Linked DNA regions of Drosophila melanogaster. The protein of the gene in region 1 interacts with the protein of each later gene in a pairwise test. Each region holds a gene or a part of one and is shown on either strand. Other genes may lie near its edges.

Region 1 (8,138 bases):
ACCTCTCTCCACCATCCTCTGCCAGCGGTGTGTCAGACAAACAGCTGCTTCTGTTGGCCGATAAGCATCGGGGATTGGGGGAACCTGTGTCAGCACCTGAGTCAGTAGCACACCATTTGGCTTGATAATGAACCCATTTCCCGCATATATCGCTCGTCTGTCTGACAGCGACATTGGCTGCGAGAAGAACTGGAACCACAGGGCGTATGAGTGACGCAGCCAACCCATTTCCCAGACAGACGCAGAAAAAATATGTGGATCACACATAAATCGGCCAAAATGTGACATAACAAAGTTCAACTGCGAACATTTTGCCCAGGAGATAATAAATTTAGCCGATACTTCGCCGACAATTCCGCTGCAAGTTGCAGACAGCGATCAAGTGGCGGTGGGGATTACGTAAAGTGTCTGTGACCTGAACTTTTTGCATTTGTATGCCTGTTGGCTGGAAAAGGGCGAGCGAATCTTTTGGCCATTGTTTTATAATGATAAAACAATGAATGCGGTCTGGGAACCTGCACCTTGAGTCGCTAGTCCGCTGTTGAAAGCACGTCAACGCGAGTTGAGCTGAAGAAAAAACAGCTGTGCAAATTTGGCTAATGGCGAACAAAAAGATATAAAGTGCGGGCCAAATGTCAAACACTAATATTTGAATGAGACCAATTTAAATTCTAGGTTCGCTGACATAATCCATCGAAGATCATGGCTGCCAAAACTGGTTTCAGGGCCGTCGCCTAAATGGTTGTCTTAAGCATCTGTTCCTGAGCATATTATTCATTTATGTATATTAGATGGTTAGCCAAGACCATCTAGCCGATGGTTCTGCATACAACAAAGACTTGGCCCCCGGTGCGTATACGTAATGTGCAAGAGGAGAGGGCGAGCACAAGAGATACATCACCGAAAACAAGCTTGAAGTTATTTTTTCTACATCTGCCACCCCCCCCCCCCTCTTCACCATACGAAATAATAATCAAAATGCCATTATAAAATTATAAAATGCGCAAATATTGAAAAACTGCAAAAGGCAAAGGCAAGGAAGAGGTGGCAAATAAAAAAAAAACAACACTACGTATACGTAATATGCGAGACTAATTAAATTTAAAGATGGGCAATGACAAGCGAAAAGGCAGCGAAAGAAAATAAATGAAATATTTGCCAAAAGAATAAGCAGCAGAGTAAAAAGCATTGCATTTCGGAACTGAGTTGCTGCTCCTGTCTTTCGTTGTTTCTGGCTTCTGCTCTTGCAATTGTTATGATTTTTTCCAGCCGTTGTTACAACATGCAACTTTGCCACAAACTGCAAAAACAACAACAAGCACTTGCGCTGATTGCGTGCTGCGTCGGCGTCGCAGTCGACTGCGCTGCCGCAGTTGGCGTTGCGGTCGAAGTCGGAAAAGCCATAAACCGCATTAAAATGAAAATGAAAGTGAAATTGTAATTGAAATTGAAGAAGACGTCGGCTAAAATGTTTGACTTCAACTTTGCTTCGATTTGTGTGATGGTTTGCATGGGTTTTTAACTTTATTCCCATTGCATTTGGCTTTTGTTGTTTTTTTTTTTTCGATTACCGCTTGTGGCGATGCAATCATAAACTTTTAGCATTTAAATGGAAATTTTATGGGCTTGCAATAAATATAGAAATATTGCTATAGTTTGGTAAAGAAAACACAAAGGATATAATTAAAAAACTGTTCACTAATTAAAAGTAAAATAAATATTTTACCTATTAGTAGCTTAAGTAATGCTGAGCAGGATTTTACATGAAATGCCAGCGAAATATGAATGAAATTCGCAAAATGATGACTACGCAAAAGGTTAAGCTTAAGTAACACTTTACGGGCAAACAGTTTATGGGTAAATAAAACATAACCGAGTACATTGACTACACCGACACAAACTATTCCATGAATGCTAAACAAACTGAAATAGCAACAACAACTTAGTAAGCTGAGTGGCTGGGCGACTGAAACAACACAAATAAAAATATAAACAAACAGGTTACTCGGGTTTCGTCTTCGCCGATGTCAATGAAAACGCTGAAAAGATCCCCAGAAACAAAACACTCGATACAAGATGAATTGAAAGCGAATCAAACGCCAAACCGAATCTGATGAATGATCGCTATCGAATGGCGCAAATAATGCCTATTTATGGAAAATCTGGACAAAGCCCAGAAGGGCTGTTGTTCCGCAGAATATCAATGGCATAGAAAGTGGCGAATCCATGGGGTGTGGGTATATTGGATTTATAATCGAACAAAGGCCGATCAGAAAGCTCAAAGCTCGTCCCCCTCTCTCACTCTCTCTCTCTCTCTCTCTCGCACTCTCTCGCTCTCACTCTTTGTTGAAATCAAAAGTGCAATAATTGCAGCAAAATCACTAAAATTCACTACGAAATGTGGAGAGCAAAGCGTGGCTGGCAATAATAACTGTAGCAATATTACAAAATCGCATTGGTTCGAGGCTCGCAAAAGCCAACGGAAAACACACAACAACAATGGGATAATAAGCCCACAAAACACCAACACAGCAACACCAACAACTACTCCAACAACTACACCAACGACAACAAGAAGTCGGCACGAAAAGTTGTTTCAGCGAAACAAAAATATAAAACAAAACCCGCTCGAACTGAACTTAAAACTGGGAAACAAGCCCATTTTGTGGGCCGAACTAAAAGCCAGACAAAAGTCTTGTGCACGTACATATGGCACATATAGTATAGTATAGTATAGTATAGTATAGTATTCCCCGCCCAAGAGCCAAGATCCTGCTCTAGAAAAATCTCGTTTTACAGGGACAGCGCACTGCATCTCGCCTCCTTGGCATCTCACACATCCCATTTGGCATTCAGTTCCTCTGGCTCGGTTCCGCAATTAGCAAGTTCAAAACCAAACTCACATGTGTGGTAATAATTATGCCCCGAAACTTGTCTGCAAATTAGTAGGAGCCACCCAACCACTTTTTGGTATATGAGGTAATAATCAAAGATCTACGATAGCAGAAGACCAAAAGTGCTGACTACTTGGATACGGAATCCAACTGCTTCTACAATATATCTATTATTTGTAGGAACACTTCTTCTGCTGATTTAGAAATTTATACTGAGATGAGTGTTGCACTTATGGAAAGATTAACTTTCAAGCACTTCCTGTTGCTTCCTTTCCCATTTTCTAGTTACTTAAAATATTTTTAAGCTGAACCTCACCTAAGTTTGTTCCTGTCTGCTCCACTGGCCAAACAATGGTGGCGAATCAAACGGATTTTCGAGGAGTTTTCAAGTTTTATTCAGCACTTTCATAGGCAGGCACACAGCACTATCTTCTATCTTGTGAGTTGGACTTTTCAAGTTTAAGGATGGATATCTGTTTCGAGTGCTGGACTACGCGACGCGGCGAGCAATTGGAAGGTGGGATGGGGCTGGGACTCGGACTCGGGATCGGATTAGATCGGTGGCCGTTACTGGGGCTAAAGCCGGAGCTATCTGTCCAGAATCGGGGCACAGAACACTCGCGATCGCGAATCGCGGAACGTGGCGGAAAGAAAGACGAGCAGCGATTAAGCTGGAGGCGGTCGGTGAGCGACGATTAAATACGGCGTGAAATTTGCTTGGCAGTGAATTTTTTCCTCTCATTCGCTGCGATATTTTTTGATTATTTTTCGTAAACGAAATTTATTTTTCACTCAATTTCGCCGCATTGCTTTTATTATTATGGCTTGCTTCCCCACCTTCTGGGGGGGGAAGAACACAAAAAAACATAAACAATGAAGAGCGCGACGGCGGCGACGGCGACGTCGACTGCAGCGGTACGATCTTGGCTTTGGGTGCGAGCGGGATGCCGGACAGCAGATTCACTTTTTTATCAACTTTTTTTACTGGCTTTTTTGCACGATGCTATTACGAAAGCGGGCTGAAGCGGGCGGCGGATCGCAAATTGAGCTTTGTTTGGCTGGGGAATTGCACTTTTGAGCTGCCCTGACGTCACGATCTTGCCGATGCACTTATATACCTGATATACATGATACATATATGTATATATACAATATATATCTTCTGATAGCAGACAGTCACTTGGGAATTTTTTGGGAATTTAATTCAGCGACCGTTTCTCGAATTCGAATCGAAATCAATGTCCAAAAGAGTCGGTGGCTAAGTCTTTGACGGTTTTTTGTGGCCGTCTACGGAAACAGGTCGGCGCACACTAAAGTTAACGATCGCTCGGAACGCTCCACGGAGTCCAAAACCGATCCAAAGCTGGCTGCCCGAGCGAGACGGCACCATCGGCGGTACGAGAGCTGAGCGGAGCGGAGCTTTGGGCCAAAACTTATAGCTGCTAGACGATCTGCTGGCCATATCATAACCGAAAGCCAAGCCAAGCCAAGCCAAAGCCAAAGCCTTGAAAGCTCTGCGACCAACGAAAGCGAAACATAAAACACTTGCACTTTTCGTTCCATAGTTCGAGCTTCGCTTTGAGCCAGCTTTCGAGTGGCTTTTGGCCATAAACTAAAACTCGGATTCGGACTCGGACTCACTTGCCGTTGAATGACTCTTTGAGTGGAATGAAAGCCGACTGATTAATGTTGTAAAGACTCGCTTTAATTAATCTTCAGCCGGGCATCTTCGCATTCAAAATGTTACGAGCACTCCGAAACACTCGACGTTGTTTAATTGGCGAGTCGAATGTTAAATTAATTAGCAAGGAAGGTGTCATTTGGGCATTGACATCGCTGACACTTTGTACAGGAAACTGAAAGTTCTGATAGAACAAATCGCATCATACCAGCAGCATTCGTGATCCGAGATATGACAGTGATAAGTCGCTTCAAAAACTCATTAGCTGCATGAGCTATTTTTCAAATGATCTAACATGATGTTTGATCTCACGATAAGATTCTTTGATAAAAAAAAAGTTAGTGTTTCATACAAAGCATGTACTTCAATGACCGACTGAACTTCGAAGGCTTAGTCCGGAAATTCTACCCGATTAAATGATTAACCTACTTTGGCATTCTAATCCGAAATTCCAATCGAGTCGGCACTTCGCTCATTCAAAGCCAAGACAAAGGAAACAAAAACCATTTTTCAAAAGTGTTAGAAAAAATCGTTTCATTCACACCAAGTTCAATGACAGTATTCGCATTGATAAAAAAAAAAAACAATCCATTTGACTCCCACATGAGCACACATACAATTAAATCGAATCGGTCCATTCAAACTGGGCCAATTAAAAAGGTAATTGTCACACATTGAGAGATCGATGTGAAGATCTCAATGGGCCGGGTTCCACATCCAAAATCGGGGCACACTGAACCGCCCACGTAAGCCCGGCAGCTGCGGACGGCGATGATGATAACCAGGACAATCGAGTGCTCTCTGGGTGAAACGGCAATGAACCGATCTCCGGATGACTCAACGGGGGCACACGAGATGTGAGATCCGCAATCTCGAGACCCATCCTCCCACCATCCTCCCCATACCATTCCCATATATGGACTCCATTTACCATTTGCTGGCGGCAAACGGCCCGTGGAGATCTCTGATCTGCGATCTGAGTGCCGCACTTCATGCGACATTTAAGTCGCAGTTGGCGATGGTATCTATTAATGGCTGTAAGTTCCAACCCATCGGCACCTCCAATCCAAACCCAATTTCTGGCCCCAATTGCCGATCTTCGTGCTCAGCGAACAGGTTTCGTTTTGGCAATTGAACCCATTACTTTTATGCGGATTTCGTGCTAATTACCTTGCATTTGTTTACATTACTTTAAATTTGCGCTGTTTATTGGTCAAATCCTGTCCTGACTTTCTCACAGTGCATCGCATTCGAGTTGACGTCGTATGCATTAAATGCTTGACACATTTTACTTGGCTTTTTGGCAATTGTTCTCAAAATTGTTGAACCCCAAACGAATTTTTGTTCCTGCCAAGATGTTGAATGAGTCCCCAAATTTTCATCCTAAATAATAGATTCCCTAATAATACGCTGGTAGCTTCGCTAGCCAATCATTTCGATTCGTGATGTAGTTTTTATGCGGAAGCAATATTTGGTTAAAAAAACCTACCTCAATGATGGTTTTCCGTACAAAATACCTTTTCGGGTCAATAACATAATGACTAAAGGTCATTGAAGAAAATGTGCTTCTCCAGCTGGTCGATTAATCAAATTACATATATTTCGCCGCCCATCTGCATCTGCACACATACACGCATGCACAGAGGTATTTATCCATGTCAAAGGGTCAATGTCAATCTGCCCGCATCGGTAACCAAAAAAAAAAAAAAAAACCAAGAGTTGGGCAACCGCAGAGGAGGTACGAATCTGCCATAAAAAAGTTAACAGATCGTCGAATCCAGCTTGTAATCCCCGCTCTATCCCACAAAGCCCATATGAAAACAGTTAACGAGGCGTCAATGATACATAAAAAAAAAAAAAAACATAAAAAACGAAACAAAACCCATTTAAATATACATCCCATCCCAGATTGGTTCGATATTTATGTGCGACTCTTCCCCCGATAATTTCTACAAAGACAAACAAAGAAAAGCCATAAAACATTTGCATAATTTTCAACATTTCACGCTACTTTGTTTGGAAATAGCCAAGTCCGCCTGCGAAACACATACGAAATGTATGGTTTATTAAAATTGTGTAATACAAACAACAAACTACTTGGCAAACTATAAAGTGGGATAAAACGAGGATTATCGAGCAAGTGAAGCGGATAAACGTAGTCCCGAAGAAATGTTCATAAATCTAAGGGGCAGACAGGTCGAACAAGTTGAGCAAAATTGTAGCCGAATCGATTATATTGTATTATTATTTCCATTATGTCAGGTCGAAGCAACAGTTGCTACTGCTGCGCGGACTACCGAATGCCCAATGGACTCGCTTCACTAGCGCCGTTTTGGCCAAAAGGCGCCGCCATTAATACAATCTGGCCCATAAACTGGGTCTCTTTCTCCCCGCCGCGCTCTGGTCTATTTTGGTTTTGGCCGACTAACAGGCCAAACAAATCTATAAATATGCATAAAGCTGGCCAAAAGACAGGCGCACACACGCGGATACCCATGGTTTCTGGCTTCTGGCTCCTGGTCTTGCGAAAGCCGCGGGCAAAGCCCCCAGGCACTTAGCCCGGCTCAAACCACTGATGGCCGATGCCAAGTGCTGGCCACAGATTTGTTGTCGACTCTAGGAAGTGACAAGGAATTATTTGATTGTCTCTCCGCTTTTCGGAATGCGAGCTCAATCATTATAAACCATTTTCGGTGGGAAACCAGTGCTGAACACCGATGAACACCGATTACATTACAGGCAAATGACCAAAGAGCTCCTCGACTTAAACGTCTTTCGAAATTACTCACAAAACACTCTCCACGCTTATCAACTCAGTTCGACAGTATACGAAACCCTTACATTACTTTTTTTAACTTGTTTGCCATTCTGTTTAAGCAGCGGGCATGCTGCGCTTGGTATACATTTACTATGGAACCCTGCTACCTGGATGGAGCAGCTTGCGGGCTATTGGACATGACCAGAGACACTTCATCGAACTCTGGCTGAAGTATTGGGTAATCTATGCACTGCTGCAGGGACTTGGAGTCCTCACGGATTTCCTGCTCGGTGGCCTATCCTTCTACGCTGGTCTCAAGCTTATCCTGTCCGTGGGCCTCTGGTTCAGTGCCCCATACAGCACCAATCACCTGTTCAATCTGCTTAACACGTACTCTATGGGAAAACTATGTCCAGTCGTCGAGAAAGGTGTTCGCTGGCACGAAAAAGTCTGTAGAAACATTTTTCGCGGCTTTATGAAATCACCACTGGTGACAGTGGTTATGCCAAGGGACGAGGATGAGCATATCACGGAGCCACGGATCAATAACCGTCTGCTGAAAAGAGAACTGTCGAATCTCATGACGCAGATTGCAAAGAATTCGGCCGACCATCGCCATCAGCATGAGAGCCCTATGATGATTCATTCCCCTCGGCATTTACGAGCAGCTGAACTGGACAAATTTAACCGGGAATCCATGCACAATGTCATCGATTATTTAGGCCAGAGAGGGGGGGACCAGCAGTAGTCCGCCCTACTATAAGCCAACTTCAGCCGTTCAAGAGGAAGGTCAGCCTGAGTAGCA
Region 2 (8,130 bases), on another chromosome or scaffold:
CATGAGGCCCAGTGCTGGCTGTTTTCCAGCTATATTCTAATAACTCCAATATATTCGCTTTAAGAATATATGTGAAATAAATTAATAAAGTATGGTATAGAATCAAGTTCTTGATCATTTTTAGTTAGTTAGCTTAAAGAAATCGTAGTTGTAATAAAATGGCAAATGCTTCATCTATAAAGTAGCCAAACTGCCAGCACAGCGCTACAACTGGCTGTGGTTTTTTTCTGAGGTCTCCGCTCTTTTATGCTTTTGCTTTATTATTTTTGATTTATTTTTATATATTTTGTTATTTGTTTAACTCTTGTATTTACTTGCTTTGCTGATCGCGCGCTTATCTTGCCTCAATTTTAACTGACTCTTCTACACCAGTGCACTTGTGTGTGTGTTTGTGTTTATAAATAGATATGTATGTATATTTCTGCATTTAGTACCCCACTTGGTCACATATTTATAGTAGCAACAATTAAGGCTCCAGCTGGTTTTTGCCATTGTTGTTGTTTGTTTTGTTTCTAGGCCAGAATCCTTTGATTGGCCAGCTTGGTGGTGTCCCCCTTTAAATATATAAAACTAGTTTTAATTTACCTCGCTCTCCCCACCTTCTCACCACCCCACTGCATTTGGTTCACCCGCTACTTTTGCACAGCTGTTGCAGTAAAGAGAGCAGTGGAGAGAGAGAACCTCAACGGGAGAGAGAGACTCCCAACGGGAGAGATAGAGAGAGAGAGAGCGAAAAAGGGTCAACGGTTGAATGAACTTTTGTGCAAATTCGTTGTTGTTCTTGTTATTGTTGTTACCAAATTTGCGCCAAGCATTTCGCAACTTGTTTTTTGTTTTCTCCTCTTTGTTTTCTTGTTCTTTGTATTATATTTGTTTTTTTTTTGTTTTGTTTTAGCGGCAATGCATTGCATAATTGTAATTGCTTAGTGCGTAAGGCAGCGCGAGAGAGAGAAAGAGAACGAGATAGTATTATGCAGTTGCATTTCACATGCATTTATTTCTTTGTTTAAGAAAAGCTACACCACTGCAAAGTCTTTTAAAAATAAGAAAAAAAACATTGTTTAACAATAGCAAATGTGTATCAGGCTAAAATGATGATTTGTTTACCGAACTTCAAGGGCCATTATATTTACTACTACTCGAATTGTGTTACCGATTTCTGATCAATTTTCCCCGTTTTATATTTGCAGCGGACGCAAGCGTTTCGTTTCGGAGGGCGACGGCGGCCACGTGAAGCCGACTACCTTCACCATGCGTGATTAAATCATAGGGACAACGGGGACGTTATATGCTGCACATGCTTATATGACCACTGCCCCCAGCCACCCAATGACAACTAGAGGAGCAACAAGAGAGAAGCAAACATTAAACAAAAACAAAAAAAAAAACACCAAATTACAAAAAAAAAAAACGAAAATTCATACGAACGCAAAGAATAAATACACCATTTATAAGAAACAAAAGACGATATGAAGAATTTGTCGCAAACTTGATAAAAAGAACTTATCCTCAGAATCCAGATAAGGACACAAACGAAAAACAAAAACAAGCAAAAAAAAAAAACCACAAAAAAACAAACAATCAATCGGAATTTGATCTCCGTTTAAACTATATTCATTATTATACTACATAAACACCTACAACGTATATCTTACCTACATGTAACTACCAGCGTAATTCGAAAGTATATTTTAAATATTTGTTAAAAAAGGAGATATGAGTGAAACGATCACAAAAAAAAGAAAAAGAAAGAAGAATCCAGCCAAAAGTATGCGGGGAACCACGAGCAGGAGCAACAGGAACAGAGATGGGTCGCTTTTTGTGGCTAGGATCTCACATAAAGGATGCGAGTGGGCGTACTTAGCACGACCGTCATTATGCCACATGAAATCAAAGCATATTATTTACATGAAACTGTTATAGGCACTCGTACACACACACTCACACACACCTCTTGGGTTGATTGAATTGATTGAATAACTTGTATTTGGAACGAACCAATGATGATGATTTATGCTATCAACGCAATCAAAACTCTGATGATTACACAAAACAAATTCCATTGACTTGAAATTGAGAAAAACATTTATAATATTCCTATGCGCATCGAAAACATGATTTTCCTTAATTTTTTTGTAACTTTGTGTGTCAGAAGACTAACATAATTAAGCTTAATTTTACTTTATACGTATATTTACCCACGGATTCATCTTATTCTGCTTGCTTTTTTTTTTTTTTGATTGAATAAAAGCTGCATTTTATATGATAAGAAAAAGACTTTGTTTTCGCCGCACTTATATTTTAAAATGTTCACACTTCATGAAGAAACAAAATTCGACATATTCTTAAAAATGCGCGCCCACACATCTATATATATTTAATATATATATCTACATATATATATATATAAACTAATGTGTTAAAAGCAGAAAATATACATCAAAAATAAAAATTAAAAACATATTTTAATGCGTTTTCAATGGGCAAATTCGTTTATTTAGTTGGAAATAATTTAGGATCGGGCCAACATTTATTTTGCTTTTTTTTCGTTACAGAAATCTCCGGATATTAAATGCAATTACGTATAGAAGTGAGTAAGGTAAACCGGATGAGAGTTTAACTATGTTCTAAATTAAATACCGGAGGTTTCTGTTTCAATACACATTATATACATTATATATTATTTCACATATTATTTCGCGTTCAAATCTGGTGGCGAAGAATCCTTCTTGGTCACCGGTTCACTCGGTGGTTCCAGCTTGATTTCTGGGGCTCAGGATTAGCCCACATATTGCTAGGTAGTTGGGTTGGCTGCTCCAGGTACTGCTCCACCGCATCCAGCTGCTGATGGCCCATTGCGACGAAGGAAAGTCCTTGTCCATTGGAATTCCAAGACATCCTTGCAGCACCTTAAGCTTTAACTCCCCCAGCAGTAGGTATCAAACACGACTTGTAGCCAATTACAGCCGTTGGTGTGCTCCATGGCGAAACGCAGTTGGTCAGTCTCATCTATGTCTTCAGCCTTTATATTAAATATTAACAATTTTAAAGTTTACCATTTTTGCTTACAAGCAATTGCAAATGCAAAACGGACAGTGTGACCAGGCGAGTGAGAGTTGGAAACGTTTGCGGCCCCAGAGCTGTCAGATGTTTGCAATGGAATTAACATAAAAGCTGAAAGCTGCACTTCTAAACATAACTGTTATACAAAAATGCTACATTCAGTAACATTCCGACAGAAATACATTTTTATAGTAAAATGTAGAACGATAATCAAAATGGCATAGCCTATTGCAGACGAGCGCTGCCAGATCGCTGCACCTTCGGCCAGTGTGTGCCCGCCAGCGGCTAGGACTTTGCCTTGTCAAGTTTCCCAGATTCGGTAACACTGCACTAAATAATTTTAATAAATTATTTGTATGAAGTACGCGCCAATTGGATGCGTTTTTGTCCTATCTGTCGAAGATTTCACGCATCCCGAACAATTGCCAGTGACTGCACGCCGTATTATAGCCAGGGAACAGCTGTGCGTTTGCCATTGGCCAACAGTTGTTGTCCACTTCGCAATTACCAAGCCATCCAAAATCGGCTGTTTAACGCGCGCTTGATTGGATATTTATGAACAATTCAGTGCACCAGGATGTCGCAGGACAGGATCGCCGGCATCGATGTGGCAACCAATTCCACTGATATATCGAATATCATTAACGAGATGATCATCTGCATCAAGGGCAAGCAGATGCCCGAAGTTCACGGTGAGATTTGGGAATGTGCAATCACTCACTGGCTGTCCAGGCACGCAAGGCATACGGACTGCTCTGGCATTCCGGGAAGAAGGCCTCCACCCTTGGGAATCGACCACGTGCTTCAGGATTATAGTTAATCCCAGAAACTCAACATATTTCATGGCATTTTCAAACAGAGAGTCCTTGAGATATGCAACTAACAATACATATACTTATATTTTTATAGTTCTAGATTAAATGTAGCAATAACCATTGCCAAAGTGTGTTGCATAGTCGTAAATGTTCAAAATTAATGTATATATCCCACAAACAATTCAAAGTATTCAAAGATATTTATCCGAAAGTAGATAGTTTTGAATTGTTTTTAAATGACTATTGATCACATATACTTAACTATAAAAGTATGAGCAAGTTTCTTAGATCCTCAAGGTCCTCAATACGTACAATTTCCAAATCAATGAATCTAAGGATACGTAATGCAACACATACACTAGACACTATACATAATTGTAGGCTTCATTGCCCTTGTTTTAATGCACTTTGTTCAATCTTTTGCAGAAAAAGCAATGGATCATTTAAGCAAAATGATTGCCGCCAATAGTCGGGTCATTCGGGACTCAAATATGTTGACTGAGCGCGAATGTGTCCAGAAGATAATGAAACTGCTGAGCGCCCGGAATAAGAAGGAGGAGGGCAAAACTGTGTCGGATCACTTCAATGAGCTGTACAGGAAACTCACGTTGACCAAGTGCGATCCGCACATGAGGCACTCGCTAATGACCCATCTACTTACGATGACCGACAATTCGGATGCCGAAAAGGCAGTTGCCAGCGAAGATCCACGTACTCAGTGCGATAATCTCACTCAGATTCTGGTCAGTCGTCTTAACTCAATAAGTTCCTCCATAGCCAGTCTGAATGAGATGGGAGTGGTCAACGGAAATGGAGTAGGAGCAGCAGCGGTAACAGGAGCAGCAGCGGTAACAGGAGCAGCAGCGGTAACAGGAGCAGCAGCGGTAACAGGAGCAGCAGCAAGCCACAGTTATGATGCCACACAGTCCAGCATCGGATTGAGAAAACAGTCCTTGCCCAACTACCTGGATGCAACAAAGATGTTGCCCGAGTCTCGACATGATATAGTGATGAGTGCCATTTACTCCTTCACCGGCGTTCAAGGGAAGTATTTGAAGAAGGATGTGGTAACGGGCCGTTTCAAGCTGGATCAGCAGAACATCAAGTTCCTGACCACCGGCCAAGCGGGCATGTTGCTGCGGCTCTCCGAACTTGGCTACTACCACGATCGAGTGGTCAAGTTTTCGGATGTATCGACCGGTTTCAATGCCATTGGCAGCATGGGCCAGGCCCTGATTTCCAAACTCAAGGAGGAGCTGGCGAATTTTCACGGGCAAGTGGCAATGCTTCACGATGAAATGCAGCGTTTTCGGCAGGCCTCGGTGAATGGAATTGCAAACAAGGGGAAAAAGGATAGTGGGCCCGATGCTGGCGATGAAATGACGCTATTCAAGCTGCTCGCCTGGTATATAAAGCCACTGCACCGGATGCAGTGGTTAACCAAGATTGCCGACGCCTGCCAGGTAAAGAAGGGCGGTGATTTGGCATCGACCGTTTATGATTTCCTTGACAACGGTAACGATATGGTCAATAAATTGGTGGAGGATCTCCTAACTGCCATTTGTGGCCCACTGGTGCGCATGATCTCCAAATGGATTCTGGAGGGCGGCATTAGCGATATGCATAGAGAGTTCTTTGTGAAGTCCATTAAAGATGTGGGCGTTGATCGGCTATGGCACGATAAATTCCGCCTACGATTGCCAATGCTGCCCAAGTTTGTGCCCATGGATATGGCCAATAAGATACTCATGACGGGCAAATCCATTAATTTTCTAAGAGAAATCTGCGAGGAGCAGGGTATGATGAAGGAGCGCGACGAACTAATGAAGGTCATGGAATCTAGTGGTGAGTTAAGGCATGCTCTTCAAATTGGATTAGCGAAATCGAATGATTTAAATGCTCCATGCTCTTATCTACAGCCTCTCAAATCTTTTCGTACACACCGGACACCAGTTGGCATGCGGCCGTGGAAACGTGCTACCAGCAGACCTCCAAACATGTCCTCGACATTATGGTGGGCCCACACAAGCTGCTGGATCATTTGCACGGAATGCGGCGCTACTTGCTGTTGGGCCAGGGCGATTTTATTAGCATTCTGATTGAAAACATGAAGTTAGTTTTCTTGATGAATGTAATTGAAACTTTTCAATTTCTAATGTAACACTTGAAAATCGCCTTTTCAGGAACGAACTGGAGCGACCGGGCCTTGATATATATGCTAACGATCTCACCTCCATGTTGGATTCCGCTCTGCGCTGTACGAATGCCCAGTACGATGATCCTGATATTCTAAACCATCTCGATGTGATTGTTCAACGACCGTTCAACGGTGATATTGGCTGGAACATCATCTCGCTGCAGTACATTGTCCACGGACCACTGGCCGCCATGCTGGAGTCGACCATGCCAACGTACAAGGTGCTCTTCAAGCCACTCTGGCGCATGAAGCACATGGAGTTTGTGCTCTCGATGAAGATCTGGAAGGAGCAGATGGGCAACGCAAAGGTAAGTGGCTGGCTATTAGACTTCTTATCGGTTGTTTCGAGTGCATGCACATATTTTAGATTGCCAAGTGCCACTCAGAGTGCACATGGTGATTCCAGTGGTCAGCGAACTGCTAGCAAGCGGACTCTGCTTTCAATACACAAGTTTGGCTTTTGTTCCCAAGGTAAATTGGGTCAAACTTTTGACTGATTGGCTAGGAGGCAATTAGGGAAATTATAAATATATAGGGAATATCTTGACTTGTTTGAGTTCTTTGACTGCCTGATTTATGAACTTACCAAACCTAAAATCAAGCTTATCTGGTTGAGAAAGCTACTATACGGATTTTTAGAGGTTTTCAAAGATTACAAACAATTTATAGGCTAATCTGGCAACAGGCAGTTGTGGGGGAATCTATTTTTGTGGTTCGAAGTGAAGTCGAAGTTCGAAAGGTTTTAGCCAAGAAATCGACTACAAGAGCTTGATAAGATTGCCCGCTCTTGTAATCTAATCCGCAGCGATTACCCACTTACCGATAAAACCCATTTGTAGTATCAAAGTGCACAGGAATTTGTCGTTTTCGCCTTATGTATTATTTTCTAGTTTTGTAGACGGGTTTTTCCGTACAAAAATAACATTAATTATGTGGTGAAACAAAAACACGAATACAGATTACAAATTACACACACGAAAAAAAAAAAAAATTGTGTAAAAGGGAACACACACACACTGTCTCGTTGAGGAATGTGCTAACTGGGCTGGGTTATTGTTGATCACTCCTTTTTTACAACTTGGCGTCGGTCTTCAGGAGCGGCGCCAGCTTCTGGGTGAGCATGATGTTGCCGGCGATCTTCAGCTTGCCCTTCATGAAGGCAGCCTGGGGGTTCAGCTTGCCCAGGGCGATGTCAACCATGTCCTCGTCGGCGACCGTCAAGGTGGTGTCCACCTTGATGCCCTGGGCAGGTCCCTCGTAGGCCTTGGCGTTCTTGCAGTCCAGAGCTGAAAGTGGTATTCGTTAATAGGTTGTTCATTTGCTCATTGGACTTGGAATATGCTACCAAAGTAGACATTCGATTCTTAAAACTAGCAGATAACTTAGCGGATTTAACTTAGCACGATTTAATGTATGTATATATGACAACGTTTTAAAGTGACTTCTTGTGCAACAAGTGGCATACATACATGCATATATGGCAAGTATGTTGTTCTGTTGCTGTAATATATATTCTCTAAATCGTGCAAATAGGCAATTCAGTGGCTTTTGTTAATGCCAACAGCTGGTGCCGAAGTACAAACGCCGTGCACTTTGAACTGTGACTATTACAAAATGCAAAACACACACACACGCAAAGACGACGTACTAGTATTCTCCACTGGCCAGGAGCGCCAACAGAAGGGGGCTTAGCAACTGGGGGGTAGGAAAATCACCAACTCAGAGTCCGAAAGTCCCCTTCGGATTGAGCCCATCTATGTACATACGCCCCTGTGCTGCGCGTTGGGAGTGTGTGTGTGTGTGGTGCGTGTTTTTATGGGCTCCATTGGGCGATGGATAACTGATACTTACTCCACTCCTTGGCCACCTTGCCGTCCTTGGTGATTTTGTACAGGAACACACCGTTGACCGCCTTGGCCTTGGCCTCGTTCTCCTTCAGTCCATCGATGATCTTTTGGAAAACGGCGTCCGACTGCAGAGACATGGTTGTTGTTGTTGTTGTTGTGGGGGTATTTCTGTGTGTATGCGGTTTTGTTTTTCCGGAAGAATAAAGAA

What was found.
Region 2: the proteins of sona (region 1) and Grip91 interact in a two-hybrid assay, tested with the Drosophila melanogaster proteins (one large-scale study listed by BioGRID).

The regions. Positions count from the first base shown.
Region 1 is NT_033778.4:23,794,187-23,802,324, forward strand, and holds the start of sona (sol narae), read right to left. Parts: upstream 4,210-8,138; 5' UTR 3,211-4,209; intron 1-3,210. Other genes in the region: CG30177 (uncharacterized protein), read left to right, coding at 7,461-8,081.
Region 2 is NC_004354.4:13,739,909-13,748,038, reverse strand, and holds the start of Grip91 (Gamma-tubulin ring protein 91), read left to right. Parts: upstream 1-3,355; 5' UTR 3,356-3,640; coding exon 3,641-3,755; intron 3,756-4,304; coding exon 4,305-5,723; intron 5,724-5,797; coding exon 5,798-5,990; intron 5,991-6,061; coding exon 6,062-6,383; intron 6,384-6,895; exon of another isoform or gene 6,896-7,146; coding exon of another isoform or gene 7,147-7,361; intron 7,362-7,926; coding exon of another isoform or gene 7,927-8,059; exon of another isoform or gene 8,060-8,130. Other genes in the region: Pdcd4 (programmed cell death 4), read left to right, coding at 1,191-1,263; CG11151 (uncharacterized protein), read right to left, coding at 7,147-7,361, 7,927-8,059.